Lepisosteus oculatus: one gene and its partner. The protein of the gene in region 1 purifies or fractionates together with the protein of each later gene. This does not show direct contact. Links are inferred from orthologs where the notes say so. Each region holds a gene or a part of one and is shown on either strand. Other genes may lie near its edges.

Region 1 (12,603 bases):
ATTCAGAATAACCACACCAAAAAGATCTCAATAAACAATCAATCATTTCACCCTCTTCTTTGGAAAGAGGAAGGGAAAGGCGCCGTTGTAGAGCGGACGAAGCCGACCGTGTCCTCACAAAAGCAGCTCGACGCCGGGAGCTGAGGAGGAAGCCGAGGCGGCGGCAGCCGAACCGCCCGGCGATCGCCGAGGGCAGACGGACACATTAACGCACAAAAAGCTCAACACAGCTGGGAGAGATCTGCGCTGTTACATTATCGACCTTAGCACTTCAGCTTCGTGCAGGCAGCGTCCTTCCCGCACTTACTTATTCAGAAATCGGACGAGAAATGGCAACAAAAGGGGCCGGTTGCGAGCACGACACGAAGCCTCTCACGACGAGTCGTGACAGCACAAAGAAAGGCAGCAGCCGGGGAGAGCCGACCGGCATTGCAGTCGCGTACAACAGCCGAAAATAACGCGGCTTTTAAGGTCGCCGGACAGAACACACAAAAGACAGTGCTGTCGGGATGATATAAAGAATCACATTATTTCACTTACTGTTCGTATCCGCCTCATTTACAAGTTTTTCGTGGTAGTAATTAGCTGGATATGCACTGCGCTCCCTCGACCCTTCGAGTCTGCTGCAATCGCCATTCAGGCTAATGTAAGAGGAGAAGCTGCGTCAGCGAGGCTCACCGAAGGGGGGCGATGAAGGTGGCGGCAAAATTTAAAAAAGAGACCTAAGGCTGCCGCAGTTTTTATTCATCAATGTTTTCATTTCAGAAAACATTCATATATCTACTAAAAATCGGTCCACCTGTCTTTACATAAATCATTTTTAATTTCGAAGCCCTTCACAAGCTGACGTCGTTTCACGGACACCTCGCAGTGTTACAATCAATGTCTAACGAGTAATAATTGAATGTAAATATTGAAGGAGAATGGTAGCGTTTCGTCAAATCCCTTTTTCCAATTTCTCGGAAAACCCAGTCACCTACTTAAAGTAGCAGTAATTGAATACAAGAAACCAACTACTAGATATACGTGATTCGGCCAGCCTTTCGAACTGTAATCCTCTGCATTCCCATTTAAACAGAATAGCGGCTACCTTGTTTTTTTACAGAGAAGTTCGGTGCTGAAAGAGCCGCTGAAATACACATAGTTAAAAAAGGATGTTTTAATGTGGTGTGTTCTTCGGTTCTGTTAAAGAAATAAAAAAAAACATACAGGTTCACTGTTTATTTCTGGTGCGTTGTTTTAATGCTTGTCACAGCGAACCACCCTAGATGTCCTTGATATGGTTTGGATGTGAACAGCTCCTTCATTCTTAAATCCTACGGGATTGGGTTTTTGCAGCAATAAGTATATATACAGTTAGAGGACAAAGTAACTCGTTCAGATTAGCATTTCAGATTAGTATCTCATTGAAAGATACTCCTACATGTGTCATGTAGATATGCTGTATTTATTGCCAATGTTTGTGTCAGTTTCACAATAACGCCCATCTGTGCAGTGGCAGATGTAAAATCAAAGAATAGTTTTATATTCCTTTCAGTCTAAAAAACCTTTTAGCACTACAGCTATTTTTAAATGATACTGATTCTCCGTTTAGCAGCCAGAACAAACTTGTTGAATCCGAAAGGAAATGATGATGTAACCTCAGGAGCGAGAAAGCATCTGAATTCAGAGCTCATCTCCCAGTTGATGAATGAGCAGCAGGGACTCTAGCTTTGCATGAATGTGTGAGCTGTAGCTTCGCAGTGCATCAGCACGGTCCGGGCCATGTGAGAAACCATGTGCTGGAGAATGCGGCACAGAACTGTGGCCATACCCGTGGAGGAGGTGTGGTGGAGGTTTATGCGACAAGAGGAGAATAAGGTTTTCTGCTGTAGAGGTGGTCCAGCTATAGGGGGTTTTAATGGTCAAAAATCCTTCTGTTCACCGTTTAACATCACAGAGGATGCAAATACCTTGAATAAATTGTATTCGAATTGTTTTTTTATCATAAGAATATTAATACCAAAAACAACGTTTTAAGTGCGTTTGCTTTTTTTTTCTATACAGTGGCAACCGTATCGAACTGTAAATCGTCTTCATGGATAAGTGGGAAATATGCCCCTAGACATATCCAGAACGGTTACTGCGCAGACTATTGACTAAATTTACCCGACATGTTTATTAACATGTGACCTGAGGCTTGAATTTAAGTGCCCTGCTGAATTTCGCTTTTTTTAGTATCAGCTCACTCTTGGCGGCATAACGGAACTATAAAACATTCAGCGGGACACATTGTCCGCAAGTACGCAGTTGCTTAAATTAATTAAAATAAAATCAGACTCCAAGCTTTGTACGATGTCTTTAAAAATGAACTTGACTTGAAGGAACTTGAGGTCACCCGAAAGCATTGCGTTACCACTGAGCAGAATGACCCTCCCTACTGACGCCGAGAAGTTCACCGCGTTTTCTAGCCTCTTTTGTCTGGATAGTTCGGAAAGTGGGCTGCTGTGATTCTGTCACTCTGTACATATCGTTTTCTGTCTTCTTTTTAGGTGTTGTCACTGCTAAACTTGAAATACTATTTAAAAATACAAAATATATTTCTCTATTTTCTTGAACACCTTACCCAATTTATTATTTGAACGTAGTACTGCTGCTGCTGAAGTTAATGTTCCAGAACCGGCTGTCCATAAGCAGTTCATTGTATCTAATAACACGTTGACTTCGCGAAGTAGATAGTGTGTCCTGCAAAGCTCATTAACATTTTAGGCCTTCTCAATGCTTTGTTCATATCAGATGTCCGGGTTGGCAGAAAGCTGCCAGCTGCGCTTTCAAGCACATTTGAACTATTCAAAAGTTTACCCAAGGAAATGACAGAAAATGTGGTGCTTCGGTCTCTCGTGCAGGACATAACAAATATTATATCTTTAGTGAGTGTGAGTATTTCGGTAAAACCCCTGGCCTGCACGTGTAATGAGCTAAGTGGTCCAGGTGCTCCAGGTTTATAATTGGAAGTTTACTTTCCTCAATATAATCAGCCATGTATTGGACAAATGTAATATGAAGACCTTTAACGATTGTGCAAAATTATACATTTTAATTACCATTATATGTTACTTTCTTAAAAAAAAACATTATACATGGTTAATTCATGAAATTCTAATCCATGTTTTTATCTCACAGTGAATTTAAAACGTAATTATCATATACTGTACAGTATACCTCTGAATTGTCCACTGTTAACACAATTTAGGGGCATCAAGATAATTGCATAAGAGCTGGCTGAAACAAACATTGTCTGAGAAGAGCATGACAGCAGGACCAGTGAAACAATCCTCGATTCTCTTTCAGGATTTAATTACACATTGGCAACTGCAGGGTCCAATACTTTGTTTAAATAATTCAGAGAAAAGGTGAATTAAGTCCAGAATGTTAGATCTGATTGCATGTGGAATATGCAGGATTTTTTAGTTGATTACTATTTTGCCTTGAAAGAGTTCTGTGCATTAGTTTCCTGGCAGAGCTGTTCCTAAAACACCATAGTTTGTATAACTCTACAGTGATATTTTCTAAATAGGTCACCTGGAGTTTGTGTGGGATCAGACAAGGTTATTATATTGCATTTTAATCACCCTGTTGCTATGATTTTTTACTTTTTCTTCTTGGCTGTCAATACCACCTAGAATGTACAATAGACTTCAAATTATATTAGAAGTTTATCTTTCATATATTCCTATTCTAAAATATTAAACATTGTTTTTTTCTCATAAAATAGAATTTACTAGCACAACAAGTAGCACAACAAGTATTCGTATAGGCTACATGCTGATCATTAACAGCTGTGAGATTGTTTTTATCTATAAAACCTTGCATAATGTTTCCCTATCTGAATCAAGTTCATTATTCACAACAGGTAAAATAATTAAAATACTCTCCTCCCCTCATCATAAAAAAAACCTTTAGCCTTTAGCACCAATGTGTTCCATCAGTACACAGTACATTCTTTCTTTTGTGCACAGAAGGTTGGACAGGAGAATTCCCCCTGTGTCCTCAATTAAAATATGAAAATAACCCTTCAAAACTTTTTAGTCAAGCAATGCACCTTGTTTATTTAATGTTTCACTATTATCACATTTGTGATTTTGTTTCCCATCAGTGTTCTATAATGGTGCGAATGCCTTCTAAAAACAGCCACTGTCCATTCAAACCAGTGAACAAGTGATACAGTGAAAACTTAATGGGCTAGGTTATTTGAAGCCCACTGTACAGTATATTCCAAAGTGCAGATCACATCAGTTTTAGAAGAGAAAATGTTAAGGCGTTAACATTTTCACCAATAAAATGGAATGTTCACTCCTTTGCTCTTTTGCAAAACAGAGTGATAGAGATCTCAAATAGAAACATTCTTCTAAAACCTTAGCTTGTTTTATTAATTTATATTCCTTTTTCTGATAGATATAATTCTGCACTAGAAAGTGCTTCCTTGGGATGAGAGCTGCTACATAAATTCCAGTTTCTTATGCAAAACAAAAGGCAGATCTATCCTGATTGCTTACACAGCCTTTTTGAAGGAGTCCAGAATTATACCTGCCAGGCTATTTAATCTCAGTGGACTCATGTGAACCCTGCAAAGACTAAGTAACCAAAACATTAAACCCTATTGGAATGTCCCACATACTACAGTGGTGAGAGAGCTCCATAAAGTGAGAACATGGTGAAAAAAAGTTTTCCTGTTTTCTAAATATGTCACAAATTAACAGCAAATGTTTATTAAAAGAAAATAAATTATGCACAACTTAAAATTTATGTAGATTTTAAATACATTTCATCACATGAAGCTTATGTTTAGTCCATAGCTGTGCAAGCTGAAGTTTTCTTTAGCTGCATGTAGAGGTTTCTATGAAAAGGCTATGTTTCATTGAAAAAAACCCTGGAGGTTAATGCTTTGCATATGAGTTGTTATACTGAGCCCACTGCCTTTCAGAGCAGTGTGCTAATGCTTTATGAATTCCCTGTTATTCCCTTTATTAAACATGCAATCTGGGTTTGGGAAATACAATACATGAAATGAAAACTTACTACAATAAATTAAAACAATGTATCTGCAACGCAAAAAAAAAACTTTAATCTGATAAACATTTTAAGCATTTTTAAACCCTATATCAAAATCAAAACTTTTACCATACTTTTATGAAGAGCAAATTTCAAAGGAAATGTATGAATATTTAAATATATATGAGGAAATTGTTGTGTTACAATTTAAACCGCAGTAAAGAAGAAATATAAATAGGTCTGTTAATTTTTAAGATGAAAATATTTTCATAGCTTACTTGACAATCAAAGAATAATTGCCATCTCTCAGCACATTTTAAATATATCTAGATTTGATGTTAACAGAGGAAGAGAAAAGAGAAATCACTGCATTAAAAGTCACTTCAGCAACTACAGACCTGTACTTCAGCAGGACAGATTAAAATCTTCTGGCACTTACCATCATGAAAATTCTCAGATAGCTTCTGAATCATGTTTGCATCTTAATAATCCCTTTGTGCTGAAGAAGAATAAGTATTCCAGAATGATAGTCCACTGCAGAAAAGGTACGATGCAGCAGAGACTGAGCCAGGGATATCTGGAGTTTGTGATGTTGCGCTCTGAGTATCATGTACAGCTGTTCCTGTAGTAGTTCCACAGGGAATTAATATAGAATGGGAGAAGGGGAGGAGACTGCTCTGTGTATGGTTTGGCTTGCAAGCTCCAGCTCCAGCCCCATTGCAGAGGAGTGTCAACACCTCTCACAGCCTTCCTCCCTCCCTCTCTCCTCTTTTTGCTCTGCCTCTCTTTTGCTGCGCCTCTGCAATTGTGAACGTTGAGCTCATGAGCTGATCTCCTTCAGCTGCAAATCAGGGGCTTGCAGACAAATGGGTGCTGTGGGAACAGGGAGCTGGAAGAAAGCCCTGCTGTCACTTCTGGAACCCTGCGTCTCAGAGAACAAACGTCAGTGGGGGCTGCGGGCCGATAGAGGGGTTCCTGTTCCAACCCTTCTGCCCCAGCTACTGGGATCTCAAGATTAACTGTATAGTCAGGTTTTCACCTGGTCCTTAATGTTGTATTTAAACCTTCTTCAATTGGCTGGGTAAGACAACGAGGTTTGCAATTGGTTCTGGTAGACTGCATATAGTAACCATTTCATGGCTACCTCCTGTTTGCAATGTATTTCATAGGCTGAAGCTGGGCCATCTCCATTGTAACTTTTATCCAGAACACAAGAAAGTTCACAAACGAGCATTCAGCCCATCTAGCTCATTTGCTCTTTAGCAGCTAAATTGATGCAAGGATCTCACCCACCCACATCTTAAAAGAAGGCACTACCCTTTGCATAAAGTGCCCCCTGTTCTCAGTTTTAAATGCACTTCCGCGTACAGTAGTTCACGTTGTGTATTTCGATTTCTGACTCTTTGCTGATTCTGCCAGATCCATGAGGCTGAGCTTGTTGAAACCTTTGGATTTGGAGTACTTGAATCAGGTCCCTTCGTAGTCTTTTCCATCTAAGACCATAAAGATCCAGCCTACCAAAGTAGAGCATTCCTGTCCTCCCCTGAATTTGAATGTTTCAGTAAAAATAGAGAAAGCTATATATAAAGTGCTGTAGATATACAGTAAAGACAGCTATTTCTATATAATGAGACAGCGATAAAAAACAAATAAACTGCTCATTAATTTTGTTCAGTACTCTGTTAGCACATATACTGTATATGCAGTCAATTACAAAACACAGGTGGAAAAGCACGGGACTCAAGATGACTCACTCCGCTGCACTCATTAAAGAAAATACATTTCTGTTCCTTTAAATCTGTGGGATTGTATTCTTAAAACAGTCATTACTGCCAATCCTTGAGCCTGAATGTAAGATTTTTTTACAGAACTGTTTATAATCTTCTTAAAGTAGTTGAATAGGTCATGTTCCTTTCTAGCTCTGTTGTTGGCTTCTGATTATCATTGCTTCTTTCCTTCTTTTCTATTAAAATAATGTTGTAATCAACTGCCTTAGTAAGAACCATTAGACAAACACTTCACGTGGGTCTGAAGAGGATACAGACCCTTCAGATATAAATTTAGCTTTCCCTTACCCTTCTGCGATGCCCACTTTAACTCACTGCTATTATAATAATTTAATTTCAATTACTGATGGGAGGCTATTATTATTATTATTATTATTATTTTATTACGTTCCCTCTTTCTTCTTCTCCTGCAGGTGGATCATAATGCTATTTTGTTCCTTGGGTTTCTGCAGAATATTACACTCCTTTAAACAAAACGAACATTAAACAGTTAACTGAAGAACTTACAGGAAAATCTATCTTTGTCCATTTATTACCTACAGTATGATCATAATGCATTTTCTTCAGGTCATACTTGTAATGCTGTAAATTCAGGCTCTTTCGGTCTTTCCTGATCTTCCCTGTCAGGCAGTAAGGTTTAGTTGTATTTTCAAAAGGAAAGGTCAAATGGTTCTACCCTTTCAAAAATGAGACCAAAACAAAAGATCAAGCAAATAACAGTAAAACAGCACAAAAACACAAAACAATTCTCCTAAATATGTAAGAAAACACATGGTGGCACAGTGGTTAGCATTGCTGTATCACAGCACTAGGGCCCTGAGCTAAATTCCAGATCTCGGTTACTACCTTTGATGAGTTTGTATGTTTCCTCCCACAGCTGAAGGACATGATAGTAGGTTAATTGGCTTCTTGAAAAACTGGCCCTGGTGTGACTGTGTGTGTCTGTGTGTGCTCTGCGATGGAACGGCATCTTGTCCGGGGTGTACAGTATGCTGCCTTACGCCCGATGCATGCCAGGACAGGCTCCTGCTCCCCGTGATCCTGTACTGGAAGCAGTGGTTTGAAAGTGTAGGCTGGATGGATGTTAGAAAATATACTTTCGAATGTAATGCACTCACTACATGAGCACAAAAATAGAGAACTGCGGATCTAGCACTATGATTTAATCTGTCAACTGTTCAGACAGACACTAGGCTCTGTGAAAATGAATTCCTAGGATAGAGTTTTCCAACCATTCTCAATCCGAGTCAAATTCAGAATCTAGATTGGCATGTCTGGGACAACAGAAACAGCAAATGACATTCAACTGGTTGTGGCAAGCCTAGATGCTTAACATACATACACTACTTCCATTATTTCAAACAATGCACTCAATCACCACCCTGACTTGAAATATACATGACCTCAGAGCTGGGTAGTTTTTGCTGTTCTGTGATTGTGAATTCTGGCAGACTTGTAGGGATTATGTTGCTTTAAAAATCTGATTTCAGACTATCACAATAAAAAATCAATTCTAAATGCAATTAAGTGTACAAGTTATGTGACAGTTGTTAAGTATAAAGTTCATAAAATGTCACAATGAGTGTTATGGGGGCAGTTAAACTGAAGTGTTTTATTTTTTTATTAACTGTTAAATAATCCCTTTAGTATATGCCCTTCCCCCAACACACACATGATATTTTGAGGAATGAAAAAGCAGTGTACTTGTTTTGAAATTAGGATGCATCTTCATTTAAAAATACAAGAAAGGATCTTTCAGTAACAGATCCAGGGGCAAGCACAGAGGAATTCCTGGTTTTATCGGGATGAGCTTCAGTTCAGAATCTAGGCAGCCCGCATGTTTTCCACACATCAAGGTCATGATCATCTGCCTTCTCAAAGGGGGTTGTGGATACCCAGTCCATTTCCTGAAACCTGTTATGGATTCTGAAACATTGAAATAGCAGTGCGCAGTGTGAGAGATCAGCACCCAAAATAGTTGCACACTCACACATAAAACCTTCTTAAATAGGAAGACACAGCAAGTCTCATCCTTGCAGTAATCTTGCAGAACTGGAAAAAAAGATTTGTATTTTTTGCTTAGGTGAGATTTTCAGATCGGTATTGGGTGCTGATGTTTCACTATGTTTAATATAATTCAAAGAAATTATATTACTTTGTTCTTTTTGTGCGACTCCAGGACATCCTTGAAAACAAGTTTGTCAAATCTTAATGTATCTTTCCCAACCAAAAGAGTTCAAATTCACTTTTTTAAGAGAGGTTGGGAGTTGAATTGAGCTTACAGTAATGCAATTTTCTATTCGTAGATGTAGTGCATTACAATAATTTGGTTTGAGTTACAGGATAAGGATACTGTACCACAGGGGACTTGTTAATTGATTGGTTTAGGGTAATTAAATTTCATAACAGTCCACAGTACAAGATTGTTATGGTACAAACATTTGTTTGGTTAAAAGCTTCTCACTCGGATGTAGAGCCTGAATTCAGTGTTTATTGCAGATAGCACAGGGGACATCCTATAGCAATGAGACATTTTAGATGTGAGAAAGTAAGTGCAAAGCAGTAATTATCCAACACTGAACTGACTGTGGAAATCCGCTGATTCAATGTGCTGTTGGAAATACTGTAGGAACAATAAATTGCTTACAAAAATATCAGTTGTTTGCCCCCACTGTACACAAACAATCTTTGCTTAATGTTTTCTGAGATGTCGTTCAATTCGAGACTCATCTAAGAAAAGAAAATGATATGTCAGATAACTGTAAATCATTAAGCATTTTTCTTTGTCACAAATTTCACTGCTTTGCACGTTTATACATTTAATGTGTTATGCAAGAGCCTGAAGAAATATTTAACTAACAAATTCAGCATGTAAAATAGGATAAAATAATTTAAATTCCAAAGACAAAGTTATCAGGACAATTGATTTAATCTTGACATCAAGAGGTATTCCTTTCTTAAAAGAATATAAATAATATGCAAATTACAATTTAGCTTTGGAAGTTCAATTTTAAAAAATAAAAACATTTGAGGCTAGAGATTTTATTTCTAGGATTGCCATAAAAGATAATAAACGTTAATATGGAAACTTCCACTTCCACATAAACCTTTGTTTTTCCAGTGAACTGTCACTTTACTGAAGTACTAATGTCACATAAATGCACCAAGATAGTAAAATTATTTTACTGGCCTATTAACCTCTGCTCTGTTTTCAAATACTCTGAAGTTGTAAAAGAAAATATTTTTCTGTTTTTGAAAGCAAAATTTATCTTTCAGGTCTGTGGTGTTTATTTGGGCTTATTTTGGTGTTTATTTTAACAATAAGACAGTATATATTTTCATGTTTTTAATAAGACAGTCCATATTTTATTCTGCATGTTGTATCACTAAAAATCACTGAAATAACTAAAATTGCTGTATATTACAGTAAACTCGGTGAAGAGTAAAATGTAAAAATAATATTCACTTGTAAGAACCATCATGTTTTAGAATTTTATGGTCTCTTTTGTGAGAGCAGCAAACACTTTTAATTGCTCAATCTACATTAAATAAAGGATTTTGTTATGATCTAAACCACAAACATGTCACCAAATACCCAGTTATTAATGTGACAACAATAGCCTTCAAGTGAGTGAAACTTCAGCCATTTCTGGAGTAGTTACATAATAACCAGTCTTTTATTATCGCTGCAGTGCTTAATGAGTCCTGCACATCATATTTCATTTCACTGACCTTCAACTTGTGAACCCACATTTTCTTAATAGCCTCTTGTACTCTCTGGCTAATCCCTTGTCCTTTATCAGACTTCTTTCACTGTCAAAGATAAGATGAATGTTCCGCCTGCTCTTGCTAAACATGAGTGACAAAAGTAGGATGCAGGCAGAGCAGTTCTTTCTTTTTATACAATCTTTCACAGGGTGTGTTAGAAAAAAGCTGTGATTGTTGTGTAAATGCCCTCAGAAGTACCTTAGCCCAGTACAGCACATCCTGGGTATACCATGTCTTGGTACTCTTAGTATTTTCATCTTGCAATCAGTTGAACACTAGGACATGTGCTGTATGTACTGGAAAAACAATGTAACCCTCATTGTCTTCAGAATGTACAGTATATCATCTGCCCATATCTAGTCAATTACCGTCAACCTCACCTTCTCTTTAAAGAATTCAGTTCACAGTGCTTGGAGTCAATGTGTAGGCAGAAGGTCACATTTCCTGTAATACTGTGTGTTGGTCTGACCAACAATCTATTGGCAGATCCTTGCTGAACTTGTATTTTTTTATTATGCACAGTCCCCTTTTCAGGACAGCTTCCTATGCAGAAAGGTTAATATTTCTCATATGCCAAAGAGTTATACACAAAGTCACAGAAAATCAACAGTTTTTATACTAAAATGGTTACTTGTGCATAGCAATCTAAAAAGCCAGCGTTGTGTTAGATAAACTTTAAACAGAAGTAATTCAATGGCATAAAGGTTTAGACAATAATTTAGCATCTTGTGTCAAGCTCCTAGCTGTCATAACATATATTTGCATTTTAAGATCCACACTTTGCTCTGCTTATTTCTCTGCTTTTCCACACTTTCCTTTGGGGATTGTAAGCAATCCACTACCCTAACTTTACATATTTTGTCTGGCCTAACTTCTTACAAATCACAGCTGAAGTTTATTATTTTGTTTTATAACTGACTTTTTCAACATCTGTGCATTCTGCTAGTTGTTTTTATTAACTTACAATATAGTTCAGCAAAACATTACAAATTGCATATTCTTCAGCAACATGACTTAACTTCGGTGTCAAAGGTCTATAATACTTACTATCAAATGTTTGTACAGCTGTATTCTTTCTCCTTTTGCTGCAAATGTTGGTTTCCCGGATGGTGTCAGACCTGCAATGGAGGGTTTATTCAGGCTTACCCTGAGTTCCAAAGTCACCTCAGTTTTTCGGTGCTTTTCACTATTAAACAAAGATCAATGTGTTCCATCCTGCAGCGACAAATAATCCAGTATCTTGATTTAGACGGACACACAATGCAAAACATTTGTCACTAGATGGATTAAATAATTGTTCAGTTATCTTGCAAAACAAATGCAAAACGTTTATAGCTATTGTTTTCCACATACTGTATAGAGTGTGTAAAGAAAATATGACTGTAATGAAAATAGGGATAGAAACATACTTTTTATGTAATGTTTTGTATTTTCCATATATGATACACATATGGTTTTGATACTTTATACAATGTTCTGCAATTCCTTGTTGTTGTGGTCATTCATACTAAGTAAATTAATAGGAAAAATCAATAACAGAGTTCCTGAACTGTGATGCAAGTTCTTTCAAACTTTCAGGTTAATAGGAACTCAAAAAATGCATCCTTTATTTACCAAGTCAAAAGAAGTGCCACTGTCTTTCTTTTCTTTTCCTTCATTTTAAAAAGGAGACATGAAGAAAGGCCCTTGTTCTGAAGGGGACAGATGAGATTAAGAACTAGTTTTAAAATATCATCTTAAATGTTCTGCAACTCTGTTCATACACAGAGTGGAACATGGGTATTGCGCCACCTGCTTCAGTAATGTATTACCTGTCACTCCCAGGAGTTCCTGCGGATGTGTGAATTCCAGTTTCAAGAAACAAAACACACTCAGGAGAATGAGTAACAGAAGTTACTCAAAACGACGGAACTGATCCAGGCAGACTTGGAATTCGCATTGGGAAGAGCATTTAATATTTCTCCAGCCTTTTATTTGGAGACAGTTATAGCTCATAGCCAGGCAAGATACATGCCAC
Region 2 (12,273 bases), on another chromosome or scaffold:
TAAACCTAACCTTGTTCATAGTTGCGACAACCTTCATTGTGACTGATTTTTTTTACTCCTGTTGTAAAGTAATGTGAAAAAATAAACAGAAAAGTGACCGTCACTTTCATACAGAGTGATTGGTATGCCTCCTCTATCCGATTAGGGATTATCCTTGTTAAATACAGAAAGGAGGACCCAAAGGAACACAGCCCAGGAGTTGGTTATTGTAGGTATAGAGAAAATTAAATGCTATGCAGCTAGTAGTATTAAAAGTTTCCATTACTGCTACTGTACTTGCAAGGGTGACTGAAAGAGATTATAGACATTTTACAAATAATGGCAAGGTTGTTCAATTTCATAAATGAGCCTTTACTGCTCTCCAGCAAGTGTAAATTATGCATTATTAGCTGCAACTCTTCACAGCTCGGGAAACTTGAAGACAGAGGTGCACAAATTATTTATATTTATGACTGCTTGAAAATGACGACTTTGCAAAGAAGTGACATCTTCCATCTAAAAAATCATGAATATTACAGCATTAATAATAAGGTATTTGTCTTCAGCCATATCAAAAGGGCTGCAAGGTATCATTTACATCACCCACACACAAGTTACAAGTATTTTTATTCTGACATTTTGATTTGGGATTCATTTAATTTTACATCTGATTTAAATGTACCTTGTTATAAACAGACTAATTCAATTACAAACAGAATAATAGCTATACAAGCCACCCCAATAATAGAAATATATGATAAAAAATTACCTTCTGTAGGTCCAACGTACCCAAAAATGTTTTAGAACATATGCTTTATAAAGTTTAATAAAATATCTCTGTGTTTTGAAAACCACACATATTCAATACATGAACGCTCTTTGATTTAATATGAATATCAGGCTTGGATGAAAATATACTACGCATGAGATCCAAGATCATATGTCACCTGTATTTGCTATGATAAGCCTGCAAGTCTGATTTCAGTAATGGGGAACATGGACAAAACTTTGAAGGCTGGACTTGTAGCTTTTACAACTTCTCAATATCTCTCTGCTTATCAAATGAAAAGTATATTACTATCATATTTATAATATGGACAGTATAATAAAGTTTAAATGCCTGAAAAATGTCCTCTTCAGTCATATTTCTTACCTAAATGCTTGCAGCAGCTCTAAGTGTGTATAAGGTGCTGTACGTCAGTGTGTAAGGTGTATGTTTCTCATGTGCCCCACGTCTCCCTGTTCTCCAAAGTAGAAAAGTTTGTTAAGTTGCTATTTATTGGGCGGGGGGGGGCAGCTTGCTTCTACATTACCACTATACATGAGGGGAGATTTACCTGTGTAGGACTGTCAAACGGTACGAGTCGCAATGTTCTCAGCTTAAGACCCTCTGTGGCCCCCATAACCTTGGTATTAACTTAACATTAACCACATCTGGTTTTCCTGTTCAACTCTGCCTTACCAAGACAGTAATGGCGTTCTTCTTCTCTGGTCTGTTCATGACAATGGTGGTGATGTTGTCCTCCGTGGTCACAAGCAGTGTCTCAAACGTAGCCTGGCCCCCCGTGGATGACGTTTTTGGCTGCGCCGGTGTTTCTGCAGCCACCAGGGACTCTACAAGGTCTACGTACTTCTGCCTGGCCTCCTCCTAGTACCAGCAAGGGTTAAACAGCTAGTTCATTTTCACGGTCTTTACTGAACAGTAAAAATAATACCAGTCCAGCTTCGCTTGGTAATCAAAGAACTGAAAATATTGTGTAATACAGTTCCCAGTTAAATCGGAAACCACAAGAAGAAACACTGCCAGCAACGCATTGTAATATGTCAGGATTCTGGCTCCGCTGTTCCACCCAGGATCAATGCAACAGTTAGATCCTGCAAAAGTGTTTAAATCAGGAAACTTAGACGCTGCATTTAAAGTGAGTCATGAAGTATCAAAATATTAATAACAACTTGAATTTGCATAGTGCCTTTCATTTTAGAGGACCCCACTGCACATATAGGTGGGGATTCAGTTTATCCACAACAGAAGGGCAACACACATCCACATTGAGAAATAATTTCATTAAATAAATTAAGGGGGAAAAATAGGGAGGGCAGCAAATTTTTTAGTAGGAGGATAAACTTACTTGACTCAGGTGCAGCACAGTATATAGCAAGTCTATAGAATGATGGTTTCCCTCGGTTTATCTGTCTGACTGCATATGCTAAAGTAATTCCCTTCTCCTCTGTAAGGGACCAGAAATAATGTCTGGAATAAGACTGGAGTGATTGTATATATATAGCCTCTGGATACGTGGTAGTGCCATGGCTGTTCTGAATCCTGATTTACACTGCATGATTTTGAACATTCTTATATTATGTACTCAAACCACAGCTTATGATTTGCAACTCACAGAAATTTCTTTAATTGTTTTAAAAAGTAAGGCCCTCATGTGGCACGTTTACAGCAAACGAATGTTACGTTATTGAAAAACTTGATTTAACCAAGTCTGTGTGTTTTGATGAAGACTTTTTATATGCCTACAGGATCTACAAAACTGTTTGGAGTACAGAGACCCTGCATCCCGCATGTGAAGAAATGCAAGACAAAGCAGGAGGAAAAGTAGTCTTCATTTCTCTAGATGTCCCCTCACCCACATCTTCTGCAGAATCTAGTGCTTCCTTTTTGCCCCCTTCTTATATTTCTCTCATTCTTGCAATATGAAAAAGAAATCTGATTATTTATAAAGCCTAAAGAACAGTAAATGATAATAGTTTGGTACTCACCGGTGATAGACTGTCAAGAGACTTCCAGGCATCCCACTTGGCCTTGTTGACGAAGTCCAGCATGCTTGGCTTTGGAATATTGCAGGGACCCTGCATGGCCTAGACATATAGAACAAGCAACACAATCATTTAGCCATTCGGCTCTCAAAGAGATAGCATGTCTTTTTCCATTTAAAACAACTGAGAAGAGCAAGCAGTGCTACAACAGAAGATTAAGGCATCAAAACAAGACCTGACTCAGGTGACCCAACCCAACAAGGCCTTAGGCGTGTAGAAACCCACAAGAGTTCTCGCTGCACAGCAGGATAATGAACTCCTGACCATCTACAAGGCCCACTCAGATGGCGATCAGTGTGACAGGACTAATGACATGGCTCAAATACAAACCTGACTTCTAGATTATGGGACCCAAATGCATGGTAAGCATAGATCTTTACTAGTTCAGCTACTCAGAATATCCACTTTAGAGAGTGAAACCTCGGTAGTAGAGTCGCACTACTTGTGCAGTTCTTTTTGTGCTGTACTGAAACAGAAAGCCGTGGTGATGCCAATCCAAGCATCTACAATTCTGTAATGGATCTAGATGACCCCATTCTTGTGTTATATATGGAAATGGAATAATATCAAAATTATCCACAAAGACATTAGTTCTATCGAAAGTAAAGTCAGTAAATATACGTCTACAGTATGTGCAATACAAAGGAAAACCACAAGTATTGGAAATTCATGTGTTGCACTAGTGTAGATTTAGACTTTGAACGAAGAATGATATTCTTGCAAAGCAACAAAAAAAGAGAAAAACATATTAGCCTTTAATCCAGAAATAAGTACATGTGTTACTTATTTTCCATAATATATGCACCAATTATGATAAATATGAAAATGTATTAAGCAGAGTAGTAGTAGAGCAATTTATTGCCATATGTACACACACATTGGAATTCTTAACCGTGCTGATCTCTTGGGACACACGGTACAACAGACAACACCACACGATGCAGACAGTACCTAATTAATAACAACAGGAACAATAAGTATGTTGTGGGACAATAAATATGTAGTAGTGAGAAAAAAAATGGTAGACCATGCAAAAAGTGTGTAGTGCAGATGTGTAATGAGTTTGAATGGAAGCATGGTACTGTAACGCATACGGCCACCAGTGAGTGTGTAAGAGCCGGCTTACCAGAGCGGTGACATCACCGCCCTTCCCTGTGATAGCAGGGCCCACAGCCGCTGGGCTGGGGAGAGATCTCTCTTTAGCTCAACGGGCTGGGTCCCTGTTGAGTGACGCCGGAGGCCCGGGTTCGAGTCCCCGACGGTGGGGGGCCAACCTGATGCGGCAACAGCGAGGGAGCCCACGTGAACCCCGAATCGTTACAGAACATTGTCCAAGTTGTGTTTTTGTTGGCTCAAGTGCCAAACAGAGGACAGGCGAGCCCCACTGGTACTGTAGCTTCACTCTGCTCAGACACCTGGACTCGAGTATGGAAAACAATACTCACAAGCCTGATCCAGCTCTGCCCTATGTGAGTGGTTTTCAGTCAGTCTTGGTCTGCTGCTAGTGTGCTCCCTCCTGCTACAAATGACAAGCCCTTTAAAAACACCACTATGAGGTGCGAGTATCACCTGTTTAAAAAGTGCATATATTTTCAATTTGACTTCATTGCCAGGGTCCTTTTTCAGTTTGCTGAGCTTGTCCTTGGCGTGATTAAAGTCCTCGACAGTTGCCCCCATTAAGGCCCCAGTTGTATGAAGCTGAAGTGCTGGTAAGCGAAAGGACTGAAACAGTCTGAGGAAGAAAAGAAAGACAGTATTTAGAAAGTATTTAAAACATTTTGAATATTCTAATAAATATTTATAGAGATGCAGTACACTGCACTGTGTTGGCAAACCAATCATGGCTGTTAAAAAATAAAAAATATATTTGAAATGCATGTGGAATAATAGGGAGTTTCAACAGTGTAGACCCTACAGGCTGTTACAAACATAAACCTCACCTTTATTTCACCAGTCCTCTCAGGCCTACATATGTTGTAGGAAGAATCATTTTAGTTGTTTCTTAGACGATCTAAAAGAATCAGCTTTAACAGGGGTGGCCGGATGGTAGTTCAACAGATACACAACCTTGTTCCTCTTAGGTGTGCCTAAATTTCTCACTCTTAATTTCCACATTTAGTCCCCAGTCTCCATAGCATTATGATTGAATCGGTAACTTCAGCTGACATTTCAAAGCCTGACAAATCTACTAATTCGAGTAAATCACCGTTTCCAGACAAGGAAATATATGTACACGTCTTTGAACTCCTCCAGATTTTTCCTTTTTGAAAAGCGAAAACAATCATAGAAGAGATTGTTTACTTTTCAAAAGCTATGTCTTCGAGACTGATACTATGTTTGACATAAGAAAGCCATCGCGGTCTCTGAAAACGTTACTAGTTAATGAGTCAAACAAACAGAAAACTAACGATTTGCTTGCTTTAGAAATGTTGTAATAAAAACATAACCAAGCAAACTTGGATCTCGTACAATCAACCCGTGCAGCATGTCAACCTTCATTGCAGCTGCTAACATTACAGCAAAACCAGCAAATAAACCTCCAAAACCTACACAAACCGCGGCTGGACAAATATTCCACAATTATAATTCACTCTTTAAACTCACCTCGCAGATTTCATGAAACGCCAGCTATAAAGCAGAGACACGGCTGCAGCCATACTATTGTCGAGGTCAGTGGGATAAAGTTCACCGGCAATCTAACAACCCAGAGTCTTACCCCCTTTCTGTTCAACCCCTCCCTTCATTTCGTACAAGTCAAAGCTCAATTTAGTGGCTCCCTCTGCTGGTCGGAGCACGTAGTCCTTTTTACAGTGCAAATACAGTCTACACCTTGTGACTAAGCGTGGTTAGCATCTGCACATTATAAGCATTCACAACTTCATGTTGAAGTTAGGAGCTCATGGTTAGTATTCTAGTATTCAGGATTAGTATTCTACATGCAGATGTTGGAGTCCCTGAACACCAATCAACACCTGTTCTTCAATATTACAAATGTTTGAGTGTCTCTTGTAAGTGTTATGTCTCTGCATTAATTTTTTCATTGTCTTTCACCTTAGCTGGCACAATATGACAATGTTTTATTCAAAGCGAACATTACACTATTATGAAGAAAAATGGCCCTTCATGTTTCCAATCCTTCTTGTTTGCAATCTTCTTGTTACACCTGTGTGGTTCTGTCTATTTACACCAATTTTAATGCAAAACATCAGCCATGCCTCAACACAAATAAAAACAAGAAAAGTCTCTATGAGGTACAAAGAATCAGATGTGTTCTTTTTGTCTGACAGCAAACCAAGAGCTAGAAGTTTATTTATTACTTTAATATAAATAAACTATAATATAAAAGAAAAACAAAAATACATTTGAGACATTGGATCATTTGTTTTTAAATCACTTTAAGGTTCTACAATAAAAGGCCCATTAAACCAGACACAGACATGCAATGGCTAAGGCAAGTAGGCCTGTTGTTAATTACAAATCTTGTTTTCCTCATAGGTTTCCACATCCCTAAGAACATACAAATGTTTCTATTTGGTTATTTTCCCCATTTGGTTACTAGTAGCTTTTCAATTCAAGAATCTAGATAGCAGCAGTTGTAATAAAATTGCATGTTTGGTGATCACTTATTCAAATCAGAAGGAGCAGCAGGTTAAAAATAAATTCCTGTTGGTCTCCACATAATATTCTCCAGTAGCCTTACATGAAATTAATGTGTGAAGGAGGTTTAAGATGGAGACCCATTTAAAACTAAACAGCAAACTAAACTGAGACAATAAAGAAAACTGCTGCTCATTAAAGATCGCAAGGCACTATTCCAAAAGAGTAGGGATTTTAACCCTGGTGACCTTGTTAAATACCACTCTTGACTTGTAAAATCTGGCCTACCTAATGTTTCCCCTTAACTCTATTGATGAAGCCATTTGTCACTTCTCTACCTTGACTGCTCTGTAGTGAGACTGGTGGCTGCCACATGTTACCCAGGTGTCCTCATCTGCATGTAAAGTGATTTGGGACCTTTGAGTTGAACAATGCTATACAAAATGAAAACTATTGTAAAGATATTTCACTTTAATGTTATCTTTCTTCTCAACCATTGATTGCAATTGACAGATTGGTACTTACTGTCACTGTAATTCCTATTTTAATGCTTTTCTACAAATCATTTATTGAAAGTGTTTTAACATACTGTCTTACCTTTTTGTGTGGCAACATCAGTACTGCAAATTGAAATAGGTGGTTAAAAACAGGTTTGGAAAAATATTCGTGAAGATTAGTACTAAATTCATTAGGGCAAATCAAATCAATGTAAATGCCCATTTTGGAGCGTGTGCCACATCCCCTCCACTGTGAATTTACACTACTCCCATCTGGGAGACACCTTGGTGCCCATAGGAGTAACAACAAAAAGCACTAGAAATAGTTCATCCCTTAAGCAATCATGTTCTCAAACAATGTAAAGTAACTCTCTTATCTTCTGAAACACTGTTGTCCTGAACTCTTTGTTGGTGATGTCTTGTTTTTGTTGTATTGTTCTGTTGGACTCTGCCAAAGTACAAACTTCCCTCAGGGGACAATAAAGCTTGAAATGAATCAAATTACGTTTTCAATACCATCCTGTCTTCTGTACCAGATGGACAGGTATGCTAATTTTGCAAAGTAGGGTGGATTTTGGCACTGCTCCAACCTGTTTTGTTGTTGCCAAGAAAGTTGCATAACCTCTTTGCTGACAGTGGGGGAAAAAAACAGCAGCACAAGATTTACTCACAAATAAGTAGAATTAAGGAAGCTAACAATACATAAGCCTCTTACATGGAAGTAACTCACACACTAGATTCCTACAAAACTACATCTGAAGTATACATTAAGTCACCGAGCATAAGTCCTGTGTAAACTCAGGAATTCTTAAAAAATGCTATTGTGTTTCGCTTTTCTCTGAGTTATTTCTTGTGGCATATAATCCTCATAAATGTAAAGGTCAAATAATATGTAACTGACAGTTATATATGCACATTTAGACTGTTTGCAGCATGATTAAATTGCTGCTGCTGTTTTCATCTAATTTCTATCATCCATGCATTTCTAATAAACTGCATAATGGGTGGAGCAGTGGCTCTGTACATAAGTATCTGTGCCTGTGGCTGGAAGGCTGCAGGTTCAAATCCCGTGGCTGGCAGAGGAATCCTACTCTGTTGGGCTCCTGAGCAAGGCCCTTAACCCCAACTGCTCCAGGGGTGCTGTACAATGGCTGCCCTTGTGCTCTGACTCCAAGCTTCTCTCCCTGTCTGTGTGTCTCATGGAGAGCAAGCTGGGGTATAAGAAAAAAAAGATGAATTCCTAATGCAAGAAATTGTATATGGCTGACAAAGTGATCTCTTATCCAATACTGGGTTGCACTGTCTCAGAGCCCAGTCTGGCAGACAATGATTACAAGGCAGGATACACCCTGGAAGGAATGTCAGTCCATCACAGGATGTTTTAATTAGTTACATCAAGATAACCAGCATGCACTAGGCCATTACATCGTTGAATCTCAAGTATCACTGCTTCATTTCCATGGATACCAGGACTTCACATATTTCCTCTAACACCACAGATAAATTAATGCTGGGGACAACAAAACAAAGCAGCACGTGCTCTTGTTAACTTTATTGTCGTAACTGTGACCTTGAGATTATTCTAGTGCTTCCAACAGAAATCAAAAAGCTAGAAAAGTGCTTCAGAAACGTATATCTATGGTGGAAGGCAGTGTCCATTTCAAAATGAAATGCTCAGATGTTCTGCGGCACCTGTTTCAGACAGCAAAATACTTTAAAGACTTAAAGACTGTGGAGACTTGACTGTCATACACAGGCTCAAATTTATATTTTATTGTTTCTTAGCCTAATGTTGTTCAATACAATGCACACTGTTTTATGCAATATACATTATAATGTACAATATAATGCAAAGCAGCTGTTTCTTAATCCAGTATTTTACAATATAATGGAGAGCAGCATATGCATTTCTTGGTTATAAATTTATCCAATACTGAAAAATTACTAAATCTATTTTGCCACAAGGTTCAAGTAGTCATCACTAAGCTCATGTGCTACAGGGGTTTTCAAAGACCTGTTCACTTTCAAACATTCGTTCTGGTAGCCATTTTAAGAGTAATTTAAGAAGACATTACAGGAGGTAGAGACTTTACAACACATACACTTATAAAAATGTATAAAGCAATTTGATTAGATCATCTCGCCCACTTCAGAAGGATCAAAACACTCGAAATGACTGGGACACTTGACAAGTTCAGTTTTTCCATTTAGAAGCCATTCAGTATCAGTTACTCAAAATCTCTTAAAGTTTTATTTTACTATAACACTACTAACAGCTCATCTGTACAGAAATATAGCGTTATAGCGCTAAATAGAATTCGTATGCCATTAAAATCAGTATGTATTTCAAGTTTTTTTCCCTCAATCTCAGAAAAGGGGATGTACTGTACCTTAGTATTGACTTATCGGGTTGCATATTCATTTGGCAGAACAGGCAACAGCACTCAGTTTTAAAATCGAATGTGCGTAAAATCGGAGATAGACTGGAGGACACAAACAGGTATGTAGATAACTGGTAGGCAATCGCTTATGTGCCTTGGATTCCCAGTTCCAAAAAAAGAAAAATAATACAAGAAAACGTCCCCCTTCCCCTCCTTTCCTCGTCATAGCCTTCTGCAGGTAAGAACCAATCAGATGACCGTAATGGCATCAAAACACAAAAGCATCCCCCCCAATACCCCCGAAAATATATTGTGCGACTGTGGCATCTGTTTATCAAGTAACCAAGTGACACTGTCTGTGAGTGGAGAAGATCTGACCTCTTGCTGAGCGGAGAAAGGTTACTGTAGTGACCGCACTGACCACTTGCTCGGACCGGCGAGCCATGGAGTACGCTAAGGAATACGCCAGCGCTTTGTCGCCGCGGACTCTCATAAGGCGAGTATTTTTTTGTTCAGAATGGTGCCATTTTATGCAGCACAAATTTGTTGCGTCAATACCTCTGTTGTTAAAAGAAATGCATTTAATGCACCTACGTAACATTTCACACATTATTAAATAATAATACCCGAAACATGTCGGCGAAAGAAAAAAAACATCAATACCATAGTTTTGAAATGATTTCAATGTTTCGGCGAATCAGGCAACATTCTAACATTTTTAATCTAAAAAAATAAGACTGGAGGATTTCATATTTACACGAAAATCTTCCGTATCTTTTACTTAAGACCCTATATTTAACGCTGCTGATTAAAAAAAATGTCGAGAACACACCGCATTCCATTTAATTTAATTGATCAAGGCTCCTTCTCTGTAGCCGGCTTTATCAAGACAATACAATTAACTAAATTATCTTTAGGACCTCTGGCTGATTTGTATAAATATAACGCACTTGGATACTTAATATTTGTTTACAGTGTTTAATAGTTGTGCAGCCGGATCTAATTGTTTACTTTGAATGTTTCTTCATGCACTTGTACTGTTTTTACATTTGTTAGTCATAAATGAAACACATTATTCACAGTGTTTATCATGGAAAGTTACTCCCCATACCCATCTCGTCTGTTCACGCTGTGTTGTGAGACCCCGAAAAGTGTCCCCCAAGGAAGACGAGCCTTATATTCGTGTGCATAAAGGGCTAGGCTAAGTCATAAACAATGCTGGCGCTCTTGACAGATCAATAACTAGTAACACAGAACTCTAATCTGAGTATTATGTAAAGTGGATTCCCACACCAGACTCAGGGTTTATTTTGAGGTTTGGTCTTTGAAATTGCAATTATTGGTGACATTCTTTTCATTTACCATGTGAACGTTCCGTTTTTGATTAAATATGATAATGAATTTGATTAAAGTGATAATCACAGGTAAAAAAACATGCTATGGGACTTTTTTGTCCACATGCAAATAAAGCCACGACTTTTCATTAGTAATTTTTGCTCTGTTTGCATTTGTGCTACATGTACAGAAACTGGTAGTGACGTTGTACGGTTTCCATCTTGTGCACATGACACTCCTAGAGGTCTTTAATACAGGAATGCGATGGCTAACAGGAAGCTGCACGTACACGTATTCAATATAAAGCTCCAAATGATGAAAACTGGTAAGATGTTTGCATGCTCATACGAAGTTCACTAAAACCAGTTAAATTTAGGATGACCTTAGTTCATCCAAAAACTTCATCTTGGTTTCAAACCTATTAACTACAGCTAAACCTATTAGTTAGCTACAGCCCTACCCTTGTCTGTTGTAAAACCTTACTTTAGCTCCCATGTTAAGTCAGAGATGTAAAATTAGCATTAAATCCACCTCTAGGGCTGCAGAATGAGCAAGAACATAATTTAAAGAACAGACTAGATTTATCATGGAGAATAGAGGCTGTTCGCCTGTGTTTATTATCATACACTTCAACCTTGGTGATGTCTTTCTTGAGGGCTTGTTATATTTACTGTATTTGCTCATATGCATCAGAAGCATAGGTTTTGCGCCAACCCTAAACTAGTTCCATCCCTTTTCCCACCTATCTTTTAGCCATGCTGAGAGATCCTTTTACAAGCTGGGCTTTGTGATTGTGGTTGTCTTGTTATGCACCACGCCCAGGTAACCAAGCACATTTAAGTGCGATACAGAAATTGGCAGGGCGCTTCAAATTAAACATTACTATCCATTTTCACAACATTCTGTAATTTTTTGTAGAGTAGGGGTCCCAAGCCTGCTTTGCTAAGCCCACACATCTGCTGGCTTTTGGTCCAGCTCCAAGTCTGTTACACCATTAAAACCTTAGCTGAAATTAATCCCATGATTAAGTCAATTATGTGATTGTCTTTATCTCTTAAACATGTCGGAGGTTGTCTTTTAACTATTGTGTTTTAGAGGTAACTTACAATTCCAAGAGTATTTTTTTAGCAAATGCTCTAGTCATGCATCTTGTTAATTCAATTAAGGGTGAAATTAAAATGATTCAGTGAGTGTTTTGAATTTCATATTGCAAAGGAGTAGCATAGGTGCCTTGATTTTCCTTGCGTATTTATTGTAAAATATACTATTGTATACTGTATATAGAGTGGAAGCTTGTTTTAGTTTCTGCCACTATTTGTCCCACAGAGGTCCTTATCCATAAAACACATTACAGTTGAATTTTTATTTCCTCAGAAAATAACTCGGGAACAACAGGAAAACAAATAGAATTAGAACAATGAGAAAAATGGTTAAATTGTAAAAATTGTCTGCATAGGCAGTTTAAATGTTACTGGTTTTGCAACCTTCAAAGTTCATTTTTTATTTTCAGAAAAAAAAAAAGCTAGACAAACCTAGCAGGAGTTGTTGACTCGGACTGTACCATGCTTTCCTTTGTGGGGGGTGGCCAATATATCATTTTGTTGGTGTGGGGAGAGGGGAAGAGGGGTTTCTGGAGAGTCTAGCTCGTGTCCATTGCT

Evidence for each region.
Region 2: the proteins of mapk6 (region 1) and eci2 purify together in Homo sapiens (affinity purification with mass spectrometry; 3 studies listed by BioGRID and IntAct, with this or other methods). This does not show direct contact. The link is inferred for Lepisosteus oculatus from reciprocal best matches to the Homo sapiens genes MAPK6 and ECI2.

Annotation. Positions count from the first base shown.
Region 1 is NC_090700.1:44,644,802-44,657,404, reverse strand, and holds the start of mapk6 (mitogen-activated protein kinase 6), read right to left. Parts: upstream 5,717-12,603; 5' UTR 5,471-5,716; intron 642-5,470; exon of another isoform or gene 541-641; intron 1-540. UniProt on the Homo sapiens protein: Atypical MAPK protein. Phosphorylates microtubule-associated protein 2 (MAP2) and MAPKAPK5.
Region 2 is NC_090701.1:15,725,549-15,737,821, forward strand, and holds the start of eci2 (enoyl-CoA delta isomerase 2), read right to left. Parts: upstream 5,518-12,273; 5' UTR 5,463-5,517; coding exon 5,410-5,462; intron 4,538-5,409; coding exon 4,375-4,537; intron 2,848-4,374; coding exon 2,749-2,847; intron 1,628-2,748; coding exon 1,442-1,627; intron 1-1,441. Other genes in the region: lipid transferase CIDEA, read left to right, coding at 9,724-9,776. UniProt on the Homo sapiens protein: Able to isomerize both 3-cis and 3-trans double bonds into the 2-trans form in a range of enoyl-CoA species. Has a preference for 3-trans substrates.